Pelodiscus sinensis: one gene and its partner. The protein of the gene in region 2 interacts with the protein of the main gene of each other region in a biochemical or structural test. Links are inferred from orthologs where the notes say so. Each region holds a gene or a part of one and is shown on either strand. Other genes may lie near its edges.

The links.
Region 1: the proteins of guanine nucleotide-binding protein G(q) subunit alpha (region 2) and PLCB1 form a complex in vitro, tested with the Homo sapiens proteins (2 studies listed by BioGRID, with this or other methods). The link is inferred for Pelodiscus sinensis from reciprocal best matches to the Homo sapiens genes GNAQ and PLCB1.

What each region holds. Positions count from the first base shown.
Region 1 is NC_134713.1:191,612,520-191,620,945, forward strand, and holds the start of PLCB1 (1-phosphatidylinositol 4,5-bisphosphate phosphodiesterase beta-1), read right to left. Parts: upstream 3,754-8,426; 5' UTR 3,587-3,753; coding exon 3,488-3,586; intron 1-3,487.
Region 2 is NC_134716.1:37,303,542-37,311,810, forward strand, and holds the start of guanine nucleotide-binding protein G(q) subunit alpha, read right to left. Parts: upstream 3,576-8,269; 5' UTR 3,190-3,575; coding exon 3,054-3,189; intron 1-3,053.

The DNA of each region.
Region 1 (8,426 bases), on a different chromosome or scaffold from region 2:
GTCTCTTTTCCTCCCAGGGAATAGATTACTCCTCCAACTTTTTCATATGTCTGGGTGGATTGCATGTTTGCACCTGGGTGGATTCCTGGACTACATATTCCCTCCACCCTCTGCCATTCACTTGGAGGCAACACACACACCAGCCCGGGAAGGGGGGACACTCGTGGGAGAGAGGGACATGCATGGGAGAGGGGGACGCTGCAGTGCCCGGGCAGGGGGGTGACACGCGTGGGAGAGGGGGCGCTGCCGTGCCCGGGGAAGGAGGGGACGACACGCGTGGGAGAGGGGGGCGCTGCCATGCCTGGGAAGGGGGGGGGACACGCGTGGGAGAGGGGGACACGCGTGGGAGAGGGGGGAGCTGCCGTGCCCGGGAAGGGGAGACACGCGTGGGAGAGAGGGACACGCATGGGAGAGGGGGACGCTGCCGTGCCCGGGAAGGGGGGTGACACGCGTGGGAGAGGGGGCGCTGCCGTGCCTGGGAAGGGGGGGGTGACACTCGTGGGAGAGGGGGCGCTGCCGTGTCCGGGAAGGGGGGGGGTGACACGCGTGGGAGAAGGGGCGCTGCCGTGCCCGGGAAGGGGGGGTGACACGCGTGGGAGAGGGGGGCGCTGCTGTGCCCGGGGAAGGAGGGGACGACACGCGTGGGAGAGGGGGCGCTGCCGTGCCTGGGAAGGGGGGGAGACACGCGTGGGAGAGAGGGACACGCATGGGAGAGGGGGACGCTGCCGTGCCCGGGAAGGGGGGGGTGACACGCGTGGGAGAGGGGGCGCTGCCGTGCCCGGGAAGGGGGGGTGACACGCGTGGGAGAGGGGGCGCTGCCGTGCCCGGGAAGGGGGGGTGACACGCGTGGGAGAGGGGGGCGCTGCTGTGCCCGGGGAAGGAGGGGACGACACGCGTGGGAGAGGGGGGCGCTGCCGTGCCTGGGAAGGGGGGGAGACACGCGTGGGAGAGAGGGACACGCATGGGAGAGGGGGACGCTGCCGTGCCCGGGAAGGGGGGGGGTGACACGCGTGGGAGAGGGGGGCGCTGCCGTGCCCGGGAAGGGGGGGTGACACGCGTGGCAGAGGGGGGCGCTGCCGTGCCCGGGGGGGAGGGTGACACGCGTGGGAGAGGGGGGCGCTGCCGTGCCCGGGGAGGGGGGGGTGACACGCGTGGGAGAGGGGGCGCTGCCGTGCCCGGGGAGGGGGGGTGACACGCGTGGCAGAGGGGGGCGCTGCCGTGCCCGGGGAGGGGGGGTGACACGCGTGGGAGAGGGGGCGCTGCCGTGCCCGGGAAGGGGGGGGTGACACGCGTGGGAGAGGGGAGCGCTGCCGTGCCCGGGGAGGGGGGGGTGACACGCGTGGGAGAGGGGGGCGCTGCCGTGCCCGGGGAGGGGGGGGTGACACGCGTGGGAGAGGGGGGCGCTGCCGTGCCCGGGGAGGGGGGGTGACACGCGTGGGAGAGGGGGGCGCTGCCGTGCCCGGGGAGGGGGGGGTGACACGCGTGGGAGAGGGGGGCGCTGCCGTGCCCGGGGAGGGGGGGGGTGACACGCGTGGGAGAGGGGGGCGCTGCCGTGCCCGGGGAGGGGGGGGTGACACGCGTGGGAGAGGGGAGCGCTGCCGTGCCCGGGGAGGGGGGGGTGACACGCGTGGGAGAGGGGAGCGCTGCCGTGCCCGGGGAGGGGGGGTGACACGCGTGGGAGAGGGGAGCGCTGCCGTGCCCGGGGAGGGGGGGCTGACACGCGTGGCAGAGGGGAGCGCTGCCGTGCCCGGGAGGGGGGGTGACACGCGTGGGAGAGGGGGCGCTGCCGTGCCCGGGGGGGGGGGGTGACACGCGTGGGAGAGGGGGCGCTGCCCTGCCCGGGAAGGGGGGAGTGACACGCGTGGCAGAGGGGGCGCTGCCGTGCCCGGGAAGGGGGGGACACGCGTGGCAGAGGGGGCGCTGCCGTGCCCGGGGAGGGGGGGTGACACGCGTGGGAGAGGGGGGCGCTGCCGTGCCCGGGGAGGGGGGGTGACACGCGTGGCAGAGGGGGCGCTGCCGTGCCCGGGGAGGGGGGGACACGCGTGGCAGAGGGGGGCGCTGCCGTGCCCGGGGAGGGGGGGTGACACGCGTGGGAGAGGGGGCGCTGCCGTGCCCGGGGAGGGGGGGGTGACACGCGTGGGAGAGGGGGGCGCTGCCGTGCCCGGGGAGGGGGGGTGACACGCGTGGGAGAGGGGGGCGCTGCCGTGCCCGGGAAGGGGGGTGACACGCGTGGGAGAGGGGGGCGCTGCCGTGCCCGGGAAGGGGGGTGACACGCGTGGCAGAGGGGGCGCTGCCGTGCCCGGGAAGGGGGGTGACACGCGTGGGAGAGGGGGGCGCTGCCGTGCCCGGGAAGGGGGGGTGACACGCGTGGCAGAGGGGGGCGCTGCCGTGCCCGGGAAGGGGGGGTGACACGCGTGGCAGAGGGGGGCGCTGCCGTGCCCGGGAAGGGGGGGTGACACGCGTGGCAGAGGGGGGCGCTGCCGTGCCCGGGAAGGGGGGTGACACGCGTGGGAGAGGGGGCGCTGCCATGCCCGGGAAGGGGGGGACACGCGTGGGAGAGGGGGCGCTGCCGTGCCCGGGGAGGGGGGGTGACACGCGTGGCAGAGGGGGCGCTGCCGTGCCCGGGGAGGGGGGGGTGACACGCGTGGGAGAGGGGGGCGCTGCCGTGCCCGGGGAGGGGGGGACACGCGTGGGAGAGGGGGCGCTGCCGTGCCCGGGGAGGGGGGGGTGACACGCGTGGCAGAGGGGGCGCTGCCGTGCCCGGGAAGGGGGGGTGACACGCGTGGGAGAGGGGGGCGCTGCCGTGCCCGGGAAGGGGGGTGACACGCGTGGGAGAGGGGGGCGCTGCCGTGCCCGGGAAGGGGGGGTGACACGCGTGGGAGAGGGGGCGCTGCCGTGCCCGGGAAGGGGGGGTGACACGCGTGGGAGAGGGGGCGCTGCCGTGCCCGGGAAGGGGGGGGTGACACGCGTGGGAGAGGGGGGCGCTGCCGTGCCCGGGAAGGGGGGGGTGACACGCGTGGGAGAGGGGGGCGCTGCCGTGCCCGGGAAGGGGGGGTGACACGCGTGGGAGAGGGGGCGCTGCCGTGCCCGGGAAGGGGAGGACACGCGTGGGAGAGGGGGGCGCTGCCGTGCCCGGGGAGGGGGGGGGTGACACGCGTGGGAGAGGGGGCGCTGCCGTGCCCGGGAAGGGGGGGACACGCGTGGGAGAGGGGGCGCTGCCGTGCCCGGGAAGGGGGGGTGACACGCGTGGGAGAGGGGGGCGCTGCCGTGCCCGGGGAGGGGGGGTGACACGCGTGGCAGAGGGGGGCGCTGCCGTGCCCGGGAAGGGGGGTGACACGCGTGGCAGAGGGGGCGCTGCCGTGCCCGGGGAGGGGGGGTGACACGCGTGGGAGAGGGGGGCGCTGCCGTGCCCGGGGAGGGGGGGGTGACACGCGTGGGAGAGGGGGGCGCTGCCGTGCCCGAGGAGGAGGGGGGAGCCCGGACTCACATCGTCCCACTTGACGAATTTGGTGCCCTTGGTGAGCAGGTCGGAGACGCAGACGGGCTTGAGCTGCAGCGCGTGGACGCCTGGCTGTGCCCCGGCCATGGGCAGCGCATGGAGGCAGCGCCGGGCGGGCTGCAGCCGGGGCGCGGCGGGACTCAGCGGCGGGCGCTCCGAGCCATGCAGCGGCGGCGGCGCATCCTATATACACGCGCGCCCGCCGCGCTCGCGCTGCCGCCCTCCGCCTCCTCCCCAGCTGACTCGGCCCCCAACTTTCCTCCGCGCTAGGTCACCGGCCTGCCAGCGAGGCGGCAGCGGCCCCTACCGGCCCCGCGAAGCCGCTGCAGCGCGGGGGGGCGGGGGGGAGTCCTCGCTCTGCAAGGCGAGACAAAGTTCCCCAGACTAACACGGCTACATCTCTATCACTATTCTCCTGCATTTTGCTTCAACTACCCCAGACTAACACGGCTACATCTCTATCACGAAGCTGGAGGGGGGGGGGGGAGGGGGATCAGCACAGCTGCAGCGCTTCCTCTTGCCTCAGTTTCCACGGCCCCCGCAGGCAGCTGGGGGCAGGGCCAACAGGCAGAGCAGGTGACCGAGGCTTTGGCTGCGAAGCAGGAAGGGTGAAATCCTGGCCCCGGACGGCAAAACCCCCTTGGGACTCCAGCCCCAGGCTAGATTCCACCCGGGATTCTCATAGACTTTAAGGTCAGAAGGGACCATTATGATCATCTAGTCTGACCCCCCACAGAATCTCACCCACCCCTCCCAATTCTTACAGCAGGTGACGCCCCCCGCGTCTGTCCTCCTTTCACCGGGCACCAGTGTCCCCAAGAGACACCCCACTGGGCAGCAGCCAAAGGACAGACAAGAGCCCAGCCGCAGACGGCCACGCCAGGCGTGTGTTTGTATTTCTCGTATGCCCTGGCCGACGGGACACAGAGCCCAGGGGTAAAAGCTGGCTCCCACTTGCTCTCCAGGTGCAGTGGGACAGGCCGGGTGTTCGGTGGCTCAAGAGACCTCTTCAGAGAGAATAAAGTGCAGAAGGAGTGGAGGATGGGCTTGGGGGAATGTGACTGTACAGACAAGGAGGCGGGGAGTCATTAGTCCGGAAACTGACAAAGGAGGTGATGAAAGACCATCATCACCATCAACTCCATCCAAGCTCTGTTTATAACCTCATAGCCACAACATCGTAAAAGAAAGAGGGGTTTAGAAAGTTGTATGTTCTCTTCATCCTCAGAGGTTTTCTGGGAATAAAGCACGCCCACTGATGGGGAGGGATAGGCAGGGGGGCAATTACCCGGGCTTCTGGGCAATTTAAAAGGGCCGGGGGAGGGCCCTTCAGCCACCGTCACTATTGTGGGACCAGCAGCAGGAGTTGGGAGATCCACACCCTTTTACACCAGCCAGCTCGGGCTGGCATTTCTTCATGCAGCGCATTGGCAACCTGTGGAACTCCTTGCTAGAGGATGTTGTGAAGGCCAGGACTTTAACAGGATTCAAAAACAAGCTAGATAAATTCACGGAAGATAGGTCCATCAATGGCTATTAGCCAGGATAGGGTAGGAATGGTGTCTGTATCTCTGTTTGTCAGAAGTTGGGAATGAGCGAAAGGGGAGGGATCACTTGATGATTCCCAATTCTGTTCATTCTTTCTGGGGCACCTGGCATTGGCCACTGTCAGAGGACAGGCTACTGGGCTAGATGGGCCTTTGATCTGACCCACTATGGCCATCATTACGTAGCAGCATCCGTGAGCTCCAGCCCCTTTTAAATTGCGTGGGTGGCCTGCCGGCCTCCTAGACAGGCAGGGGCTGGTACCAGTGGTGGTGAGGGCAGATGGACAGGCATGTGTACATTCTGGCCATACCACAAGTGCATGCCCCGCAACATGGCCAACAGCTCAGAGGGCACCAGCCTGCACAGACACAGCACTGCACAACTGTCTGGCAAACTGTGTCCGCACTTGTGCGTGCATTGGGGCCCTTTGACTGTCCTGCCCTGGATCCCAGAATTGCTCTCAGTGGGCCTGGAATAAAGCCATATGACCTTAAGTCCATTGTAAGTATCCTTTTCTCAATTCATGTTAACACCGAAAGGGCACTAACAGTCTAGTGACATCCCAAAGCAAGCAGTTTTGAAGAAAAAGGGTTTGAAGAACGAAATCAAACATGCTCTAGCAGTGACCTTCCATCTGTTGAAGAGTCGCTGCACAGATAAAGTGTCTGATGATGCAGCACGTAAGAGTCCTGATTTCCCTGTAGAGGTTTCTGCTTGAACCTCTTAAGGTTTAAAGGCAGCTGGTCAAACTTGTTCTGACTTGGCCAATGCAAACTATGCAGAGGGAGCAGCCTTTGGGAAAAAAATAAATAAATTGGGGGGGGGTCGAGGAGTGCTGCTTCACACCATTCGTTTGGTGTAGGTATTTGGTTTTAGAGACTTTTTACAAATAAGTTACAAAAAGATAATAATTTACTCATTTGTCTGTTGTATATTTCTAAAATATATAGCAAGAAGATAATCTAGGAACTAAAATCTGCCGCAGGGGCCCTCTGAGGCCTTCGCAATCGGCGTGTCCTAACAGCCACAGTCAATATGAACAGCCTTGTTCCTCAAGACAGTCAGGCCTAATGGCCAGTGTCCCAATAACACCCTGTCTCCATAGCATGGTCAGATCTAATGCTCAGAGTCAATAGTAGCACTCCCTGCAGAACAGCGTGGGCTAAAGGCCAGAGTTAACAGTAGGGTTCCCTTCCCACTGGCCTAGCAGCCAGTCCGTAGTAACGGGAAGAGTTGAACTCCGTGGGGTTGGTGAGGAGGGGATGGGGGACCCAGGCCCACCCTCTCCACTGGGTACCAGCTCAGGGCCCAATCAGTGATGGAGTGGATCACCACAGCAGGGAATCCTCCCGAAACATGCAGGGCACTCGGGATAAAGCTCCCCGCCCTGGGCTACTTCGTACCCCCTTTCCTGCATAGTCTTCTCCATCTCTTTCCTCCAGCCTCGGGGCTGCTGCTGCTGCAGTTCCCTTCTGACTAGTGATAGTGTCTGAGTGCACCAGTGCTTCTCCTTCAGGAGCTCCTGCGAAACCTCCTTCTCTGGCAGCTGGCAGCCCAGACTGAGTTGCTTCATAGGCCTTCATAGCTGGCCTCCAACTGGAGCATGCCCGGCAAGACTGTGGGGGCAGGGCCTTCTCAGCCAGGTATCCAGCTTAACCCTCGCAGCCCCAGGGCAGGGATGGTACATCCCGCCACAACGTCTGTCTGTCCGCCCATCTGTGAGTCTGTTTGTTCAAGAACTCCTCCTAAATGGTAAGAACTAGGGCCATCATTATCATACCAACCTTCCTCTTATCATAACTTAAAGCAAGGTCAGGGGTTGGTTGTGCCAGGACAATGGGATGAGCCTGGAAATCAATTGTTTCTCATAACATGGAAAGGGAGGAGTCTGGTAGGATGGACAGTTATTCTCTAGAATGTCCACAGGGGGCAGCAACGGGCCATAGAATGGAGACTGGGACAGCTGTAAACCCATTGGGGGACAAGGGTGGAGAAAGGGACTGCTATCTACTATATATTTTAGAGAGTTTGTCTGTTTGTGTGTCAGTTTGGTTATGTCTCGACAGCAGAGTTAAATTGCAAATTGTGTCTCTTTTTCCGATTTACTTTCGAAAGCAGCTTTTCCAAAATTTGGCGTGTCTACATGGTGCCAAATTTCGGGAAAGAAGTGCTCTTTTGACACATCCCTTATGCCTCCTAGAACAAGGTTTACAGGGAAGGAAAAAGAGCGCGTCCACTTTTTCTAAATTTTCTTTCGGAAAAGTGGATGCGTTCCTTGGACGCGGCATTGCTTTTCAAAGTGATAGTCTAGACAACCTTTGTTTCTGTGTCTGGGTCCCCCCAGCCAGGGGACATGCATCCCACACCCAGCTGTGTCCACTGCAGCTGCCACGGACAGACGCTTCTCATCTTGCCCTGAGCTACTGCAGTGAGAGAGAGCTGAGGCTGTCCTCTTCCCAGGGAAGCCTGCCTACTGAATCCCCTCATCCCTAATAAACCTTATTTAAGGACCTGAGCAGCAGTGGGTAAATCTTCTAGTTAAAACCTTGGGCTTGCTCCAACTTTCATTAACTTCAATGGGATACTTTTCACTGACTTCTGTGGAAGTCAAATCTGTCCTTTTGTGATAGTCTATGCAGACTATTATCAATGTTCCACTCCCAATGAATCCATTTGATCTTATTTTTTATTCGAATCAAGCTTGCTTTCAAGAATGAACGTCACATGAATCAGGATACAAGTTGGCTCGCTCACTGCAGTATTTTAATTTCTGTTGATTTGCTACGATTTAGGAGAGATGATAACAAACTGTGTTTTCAGATGCACCAGTGTAAATCCAGAAGAGTACCGTTAGCTGAGATTGTCTTTCACCCCAGCATATAGTGTGTGATAGATGACGAGTTTGAGCTTGCAAAACAAAATTATGAGGTGAAAGTCGGGGTAGTAGAATGATCATCCACAATCACTTAAACTCTCACATTCCCAGCAAGCTACGGAATTCACCTGTAGGGATGTCACACATGAAGGAGTTTCATCATGTGTGAATCTCCATGCAGAATAATGAATAGCCATCCTGGTCCTTCCATTGCCTAACTGGCTATCCATGAGAGACTTCTGTGTCTCTTCTTCTCAACAAGAGAGAAATAAACTATTCACCTGAGCTAATACAGGCAGTCCCCGGGTTACATGGATCCGACTTACATCGGATCCCTACTTACAAACGGGGTGAGGCAACCCCACACTAGCTGCTTCCCCCCAGCAGACCAGGGAGACGCGAAGCTAGCGCGCCCTCTCCCCCCCCCCAGCAGACCAGGGAGACGCAGAGCGGCTTTTCTCAGCAGACACCTCAGCTTGGGAATAAAGGACTGAGGGAAGTGAG
Region 2 (8,269 bases):
TAGGCTACTCAGGAGCACAAGTGCCATTTTCAAAAGTAACTAATCCACTTAGACTCCTAATTCCCAGGGTACTGTTATAAATGGAATTGAAGCTTAAATGACTTAGGCACTGAGGGTGAATCTAAGTAGCTTTTGACAATTTTACTCAAAGCCTACATAAAATAAAATGAAGTACTATAGGTTGAATCTCTCTAGCTCAGCACCCTGACCAGTTCCAAACCACGGGAGGTCAATATTGTCTAGCAGCATTACCAACACTTCTACTGCTTACTGGGACTGAAAACACTGAGAGCCAAGGTTGTACACAAACTTTATGGGACCATGGAAAACTTGGCTACACCCATGATAAGTGGATATCCAGCTAACTAAATTCATGCTGGGTCACAGATGTACTTTCAGATATTGCACCTCTCTGAATCTCACCAGTTTTATGACTTTACAATGATTTTTCTGATTTTTTAAAATGTCTCTTGCACCTTGTTGTACAAAAGACCCACACAAACAACAGGGAAAACTGAAGAACAGACTATAGCAGTGGGAGTGACTAAACGCAAACTGCTGTCAAATACACAAGCCAACTGAAAAATATCCCCCTCTCCAAATTATTTCAGTACACTAATTTTATATTTGGGTCCTGGAAGCAGCTCTGTGCAGGCAAATCACTGTCTCTGCCCTGAGACCCAGTGACTTCAAGTGGAGTTTGCCTTCACAGAGCTCCCTGTAGAATCAGAACCATAGGTGTTAATTGTGACACCAGTACACATCATTAACAGTAAGGAGCATGATTTTTAAGTTGACAATCTCCTTTAATTAGAGTGTACTCTTTTGAAAGTAGAATAGTGACAGCTTGTATACAATAGGAATTTCTGGAGTGGGATTGTTACAGTTGTGCATATGAGCACTGGAGATGGGTTACTTTGTATAAAGCAAGTATTGCATCAGGACCACTTCTCTCCGTTGCGAGTAAACCACACCAGTGCAAACTCACATTACACTAATGCAGCACATCAACATTGAAGGTTTGCACTGTTGTACCTACACAGAAAAACCCTGAGCTTTCTCAATAGTTCTATAAATTAAGAGCTCTCCTGACCCATCTATTTGCACTGAAACTACCCACCTTTCACTTGGCCTAAACTAAAGCAATGCCAAAATTAGGCACTAAGTCTGCCATGAGTTATACACTTACTTAACTTTACAAGTGAATGGACTCCACTAAAATCAATGACACTACTCATTCATTAAGTTAAGCATGAGCATGACTGACAACAGTATTGGGGCCTAAATCTTTGAAATTATATAAATTAATATATTTAAGTTCCCTTGTCCCCATTCTGGGAGCACACAGAAAACACCCCTAATAAACTTCACACTTTCGTAGAACCTTGGGCAAAATCCTGTAGCATTATTGCCAGAAATAAGGAAAATGCAGAAATCATGTGGACTTGTACGACAAGCCAAATATGATAAAAAATACTTCTTGAATCTGTTAAGTCAGTGTCCATAAACTAAAGCAAATGCAAGCTATATAATTTGTAATTCACATCTTGTCTTGAATTCTAAAATAATCACAATGTGCAAAACTAGGCCAAAATCATATACGCAAAGCAATTTTTATCTCTCTCTCTCTCTCCTGATCATTCCTCCACACCCATTATTCCAACTTCCGAAGAGAAAATGTGTTACTGAAGGAAAACTGCAAATTAATTTAAAAGAATATGGTCATACAAAGTCATTCTCATGTTTGCATATTTTGAACCAGCTTTAACATATTTAAACCCATATCAATAACAACCTTTATGTATAAAACAAGATAGTACATTTGCACTAAAGCAGACAATACACATCTTTTGCATGTGATGTATTCAGTTTTATAACCCCACATACACGCACATCAGGCTCTTGTGCAGACATTTTTAGGCACTGTTAGTCCAAAGCATTAACTACATCTACCATGATAACTGTGTATTAAAAAAAATCTTATGACCAAATAATTGTATTATTTCTAATTCAAAAGTATTATTTTAGCAGATACAAAGTCAAATAGGGACACACTAGTTTCTGTACAATAACTGTAATATAATTACAGTTATTGTACAGAAACTGCCGAAATTAAGAGGAAATTCTGTTGTATATGGTAAATTGTATTTCTTATCCAGTGGGTGGATTCCGAAGATACTCCAGATCCTGTCATTCTCTAACATACTGTAGGTTATTATTCAGTTTCATGGTCTTTGTATGGTGGTGCTGTTATTGTAAAAAATTAGCCTATAATCTGAATGTAACCCTTCATCTCCGTTTCCATGTTTTAGTGTTATTTTTATTTAATGAAGCAATCAGCCACCCTGCAATCTTTCGGAAGGCTCTCAGAACAATGCAGACATTAAAGCTTGCCACCATCAATCTGCAAAGCAACTCCGCCTGTGAGTCCTTTCATTTAGCTGCTGCCTTGCAATTTTCCCTTACACCCACCCCCAAATGTATTTGCCATTTATGTTCTCTTTTCATCTCTCTATCACCCACCAAGTCCTCTCCCCGCTCCATTTTTGGAAGGCCAGTGTCCATTCCACATCAAATTGCCTTCAGGAACCAGAATCATGTATTTACCCAGCTACATTTTCATTTGCAAAACATGCCACCAAATATACACCATGTAACACCGTGTATTATAGCTATCTGGGCGCACGCACACACACACACACACACACAAATGTATCCGCTCCACTATCATCAGAGTCCGAATAAACAGAATCATGCAGATTGGAAGCCCCCGCGGAGCGAAAGCAGGGAAACTGAGTGTAAATCGCGTCCTCCCTCCCTTCCCCTGCACCCATAGCCAGACTCCCTTTCCCTTAAGACTGATCAAGGCGCGGATACAATATCCACTCGGGATCCACACACCGGCATATCGACTGCATAGGTGCCTACATGCACGGGCAAAGCTGCACTCCCCAATGCCCCCTGGCACCCAGTATGTGTGTGAGCAGCAGGGGCGGCGCGGCACCGGGGCAGCTGCCCGGGTTGGGGTGAAGGCGGCGCCTGCCCGGACTTACCCAGCAGCAGCAGCTTGAGCTCCCGGCGGGCGTCCCGCTTGTCCCGGCGGAGCTGCCTCTCGATCTCATCGTTGATACGCCTGGCTTCCTTGGCTTCCTCGCTCAGGCAGCACGCCATGATGGACTCCAGAGTCATTCTTCCTAACTGGTTCAGACACAACCCCCACCCCCCGAAAACTCTCACTCACACTCACACACACTCACACCCCGCACCGCGGAGCGAGGGAGGCACGCGCCCTCTGCCTGCGAGCCCCCACCCGGGGACAGCCCAGCCGACGCCGGGAGAGCGCTAGATGCTACACCCAGCGAGCAGAGGCAGAGAAAGGGCCCCCACCGGCGGCGGTGGCAGCAGCGCAACCCCACTATCTCCTGCCTCTGACACCCTCTAGTTCCAACTCCTCCTCTTCTCTAAATCATGCACCAAACAACAGGGAAACATCCACCGGAGCAGCAGTGCCCAGCAGAGAGGAGCAGCCCAACGCCCCCTCTTTTCCCTCGCTGCCGCCTGCGGTCACCTCAGTCCCTTGTAAATGACACCCGCTGAAATCCCCCCTCAGCTCCCTCCCAAGCAGCCAGCCCCCTACTGAAATGCTAATCGCGACTAACCCCTCCCCCCCTCCACACGCACATTTTCTTGTTTCTCTTCCCCCCTCCCTGACTTTGAAGACCAGATGCTCCAGGAGGTGGTTTTTGCTTGTTGCCGCTTGAAAATCTCTTGGAGTTTGCTTTGCTTAAGGTTTTCTTGCAAGTGGACTTTTCTTCCCGGCTTTCTTTGAGGCTGAAGGGGGGGCGGGGGGAGAGCTACTTGCTTGTGGCTTGCAAAGCAGCTGTTGCAGAGCTGTTCGTCGTGTTCCTGCCTTTCCCTTTCTGTGAGGAAGCGAGAGGGGACAATGTGAGAGAAGAGGAGGGAAGCAGGAGCTGTGGTGCATGCACAATATGTATCCAGCCAGCCTGACTTTTCAATGGCTCAGTTCCCCGGGCGTGGTAAGGCAGAAATATGGCGGACCTTCCCTCTCTCTCCCTCCCTCTCTCCAACCCACGAGACAGAGGAATATGTTACAGACAGAAAGGAAAATCCCAGGGCAATAAACCTTCAAACCCACTGAACAGGCTTTCACACAAAGACGAGCACCACCATCCAATAGCAGTAGTAGAAGGAGGAACAAGTACTTTTGCACACCAAATGGCCGCAAGGAACACTCTTTTTTGTATTTGTCCTATAGGGCAGGGCTGGGGAGGGTAACATATTTTTGTATTTACTTTTCATTCCTTTTTTAAAATCCATTTTGTTATAAACCTTCATGCTATTCCAGGAAGAGATGACTTTGCAAAGAGTTTAAGAGTGAAAGAATAATTCCCAGGAGGGGAAAGAGGCGGAACCTTTCTCCCTTCCGATGGCAATGTAAATTTGGGGAATAAAAGTTTCCCAAGGTCTTCAAGGCGTTCCTTATAACTGTTCATGCCAAGGAGTTCATATGTTGAGCTGAAGAACAATGGGGGAGGGGAGATTGTAACAATCATTATACTAAATAAAATGGGTAGGTTCCTTCCCTTGCTTCCAGGAACCTAGGATTCTAAAATGTAAATAGATTAATCTGTTTTACTTTTTATTTCTGTAGGTGTAACTTTGAGGTTATCCATTGTGTGATTTTGCCAAACTCCAAACCCCTTGTATATTTGTACTACTAGACCTTAAGTCAAACCATTACAGAGCAATGGCACATTATGGACTGATACATGATATGGATCCTAGCTTTCATCCATCCTTGATGTTTTAGCTGCATTTTGCCCTATTCCCACCCCATTTAAAATTAGCTATAATGGAGAAGGATCCTGTCTTGCTCCATATCCTCTTTCACCTGCCAGCTTCATGTGTGATGCTCTTTCCAGCACCTGTTGGCATATATTTTGAAAAGTATGTTGTGCTCACATGTGCAGCTGCTCATACATGTTGACAGTCTTAATTAAGCTATGCTCATCACAAGCTCTGAAAATTAAAATTTAATGATCAAAACAGTGACTTCTAGATTTTGAATAAAATAATTCTCATTGTTTCACAATTTTAAAAATATATTTACTTGTGCTGATTTGTTCAGCAATTTTTTTGACAGACTAAAAAAATAGTCCCTGCAGCTCAGTTGATTTTTGAAAATATGTTTCGTTTACCTTGCAAACAAAATTAAAATAAAGATGGACAAGTTTTAAATTAAATTCTACAATCCTATTTTTAATAAAAAACACATATTTCAGAAAAATCATTTTTTAGTAAACTGAAATGGATTTAAAATGTAATAACATGTTTTAGGGTCCCTGGTTTATGTATATGTTGGCAATGAATTTAGCAACATAAAGATACAGTTGATAGGCACTAGTTTGCAGTTACCATGTATATAAAAATGCTAACCAAGAAACAAGTGAACAATGACACAGGGGTCAAATCCTCTTTGCTTCCACTGAACAACTTCTTAGTGGATGAGGACCTGTAAGTGAATAAGGGACAATAAGGCAGCAGAATGGTGGTACAATGGCCAGTTATAAGGAACATATGCCGGAAACATGCTGTGTGCTCACCACACTGCTTGCACAGGGCCCGGCATGGTGCAAAAGTGTTTGCAGCAAGTCTGGGGGATGGGTAGATTATAGCAAGTGGATCTGCAAGATCCCAGGATAACTGATCAAAATCTCTCTGCATATTGAGAGCATAGCAGCCACAGCCCTTAAGGCCTAGCATTATAGTAATCTTCCTTCAGAAGAGGAAGTCTGACTCATCTTTCAGAGCACTAAAGGGAGTTGCAAGAGTCTCTCCAGGGTCTGAATACTATATACTAAAAATGTGAAGCTGTCATTTAATTGTAGGAATTCTTGGGTATGTATACTGCATTTATTCTCTACGTATCTCTCCCAATGACAATGATTTTTGCCATATGACCTGAGGGCAGTACCTTCCAATATGTATCTTGAGAAAAACCACAGAATAAATAGAAAATGTTATGAGGCTGGACTACAGAAATTGCGATAGCAGCGCATAAAAATGGACCTCAGCTAGTATCCTACCTCTGCAGGTGAATAGTACCAGATACTTTAGAGGAAAGTGTAAAACCTTCATAATCAGAATCAAGCAATAATATACCTCTAGGGTTTCTTCCTAACTCCAATCAGAATAGTGGTAGGCTTTTGTTCTAAATCATGAGGCTTTATATCTCCTTTTCCCTGTATATATTTATCCTAGCAAGTATATCTGCAAATGATACAATTATTAACTACAGAGATACCTAATACTATTGTGATTCCCACCAAGCTCTTTGCCTCAGTATCTGAGTTCCATAGCTTAAGTATATCTTGCATATAATGGTGACTCCATTTATTGGCCTGAATTTTCAAAATGACTAGGGATTTTGGGTGTCTGACTGGAAGACTCCTTAAGGAGAGTCTAGTGTTCAGGAAGTGATGAAGAACATATCTTCTTTGAATATCAGATTCCTTTAAAGTGTCTTAAATTGGGCACCCAAACACTGAGGTACTCATGATAATTAGTCACTTTTAAAAATTGAGGGTGTTGTTTTAAATGCGTTGCTTTTTATTTTCATTACCATCACTTTCTTGCTTTGTAAGAGAGAGTAAATATGCATTTGTGATAAACCTTGGTATACCATTGATAATGCTGTATATCTCTATCATATCTCCTCTTACTCCCTAAAGTATGTAGTGCCAGACTTTATAATCTGTTCTTGTACAGAAATCCTTCCATTTAGTTGACCCACTCTGTGTGTCTTCTGTTTTTTTAGATGGTTTGACCAAAACAGAACACTGCATACAAGGTGAGAGCATACCAGCAACATAGATGAATCTGTTATCATAGTTTCAGCTTTATTCAATATCTCATAAAACAACATCTTTGTGACTAATATTGCAACCCCATGCAGTATTTTGGGGGACCATTTATTAAATTTATGAATGGTTTATATATGATTGTGTTCTAAATGATGGGGAGGGTTACCACAGCTCCTAAAGGAAATATATACAATGAGAGGTATTAGGGCCCTGAAAGACTGATGAGCGACTCTTGATATATTTAGTATTAGGACTGTCAAGCAATTTTAAAAATGAATTGTGGTTAATCACATGATTAATCGCGTGTGCTGCCCCTTTGAAATGCTGCGGCGGTGTTTCAAAGGGGCAGTGCTGTGGAAGCCTGGGATTATCTGGAATCCCCAGCTGATTCCAGGCTCTGCTCACGCTGCTCCTTTGAAATGCAGCAGTGACGGCACGGATCCCGAGAGATGACCTTGGCTCTGTGCAGCACTGCCCCTTGGTAATGCTGCCACCGCGGTGTTTCAAAGGGGCAGCAGCAGCTCTGCGAGAGCCCAGGATCAGCTAGACTCCCCAGCTGATGCCAGCTCCATGCAGCGCTGCCCCTTTGAAGTGCTGCCCCGGCGTTTCAAAGGGGCAGTGCCATGGGAGCCTGGGATCAACTGGAGTTCCCAGCTGATCCTGGGCTACATTGGCCTTCAGAAGGGCAGTGCCGCACAGCTGACCCTAGGTGCTGCTCTGTTGAAACGGAGTGGCATTTCAAAGGGGCAGTGCTGCCTGGAGTCCAAGGTCAGCTGGGGACTTCAGCTGATCCCAGGCCCTTCCTGCGTTGGTGGCATTTCAAACGGGCAGCGCCGCAGAAATGTCTGTGATTAATGCGTTAAAAAAAATGCATTAATTGTGCTCTGCGTTAATCGCAGGCATTAATGCGTGTTAATTGACGGACCTAATCTTTTTACTAGAAGATTTACCCAGTGTTGCTCAGGTCTTTAACTCAAATAATTTTTGTTCTCTTAATTTAAATTATTGTTCTGGAGTGGGATTGGGGATGAGAGGTTCAATATGCAGGCTGCTCCAGGTAGAGAGGACAACCCCAACCCTCACTCTCACTGCAGCAGGTTATGGCCAGAAATGCCTCTCCCTGGCTGCTACAGCTACACCAAGGGTACATGTTCCCTGGCTGGGGCAGATTCAGGTTCACCTGTCCCTGCGCTCCCCAGCCTGAGTGAGGAATGCAGCAAACTGTGCACTTCCCCTAACTCCCTGACAAAGGGGAACAACCAGCAATGTTCCGGTGAGAAGTGGGGAGAGGGATCCTTCAGACTCCTCCTTCCCCTCCCTCACACACATTCCTTAAAGGTTACCTGTGGGTGGGAAGCTCGGGGCTAGAGCAGTCCCAGACAGGG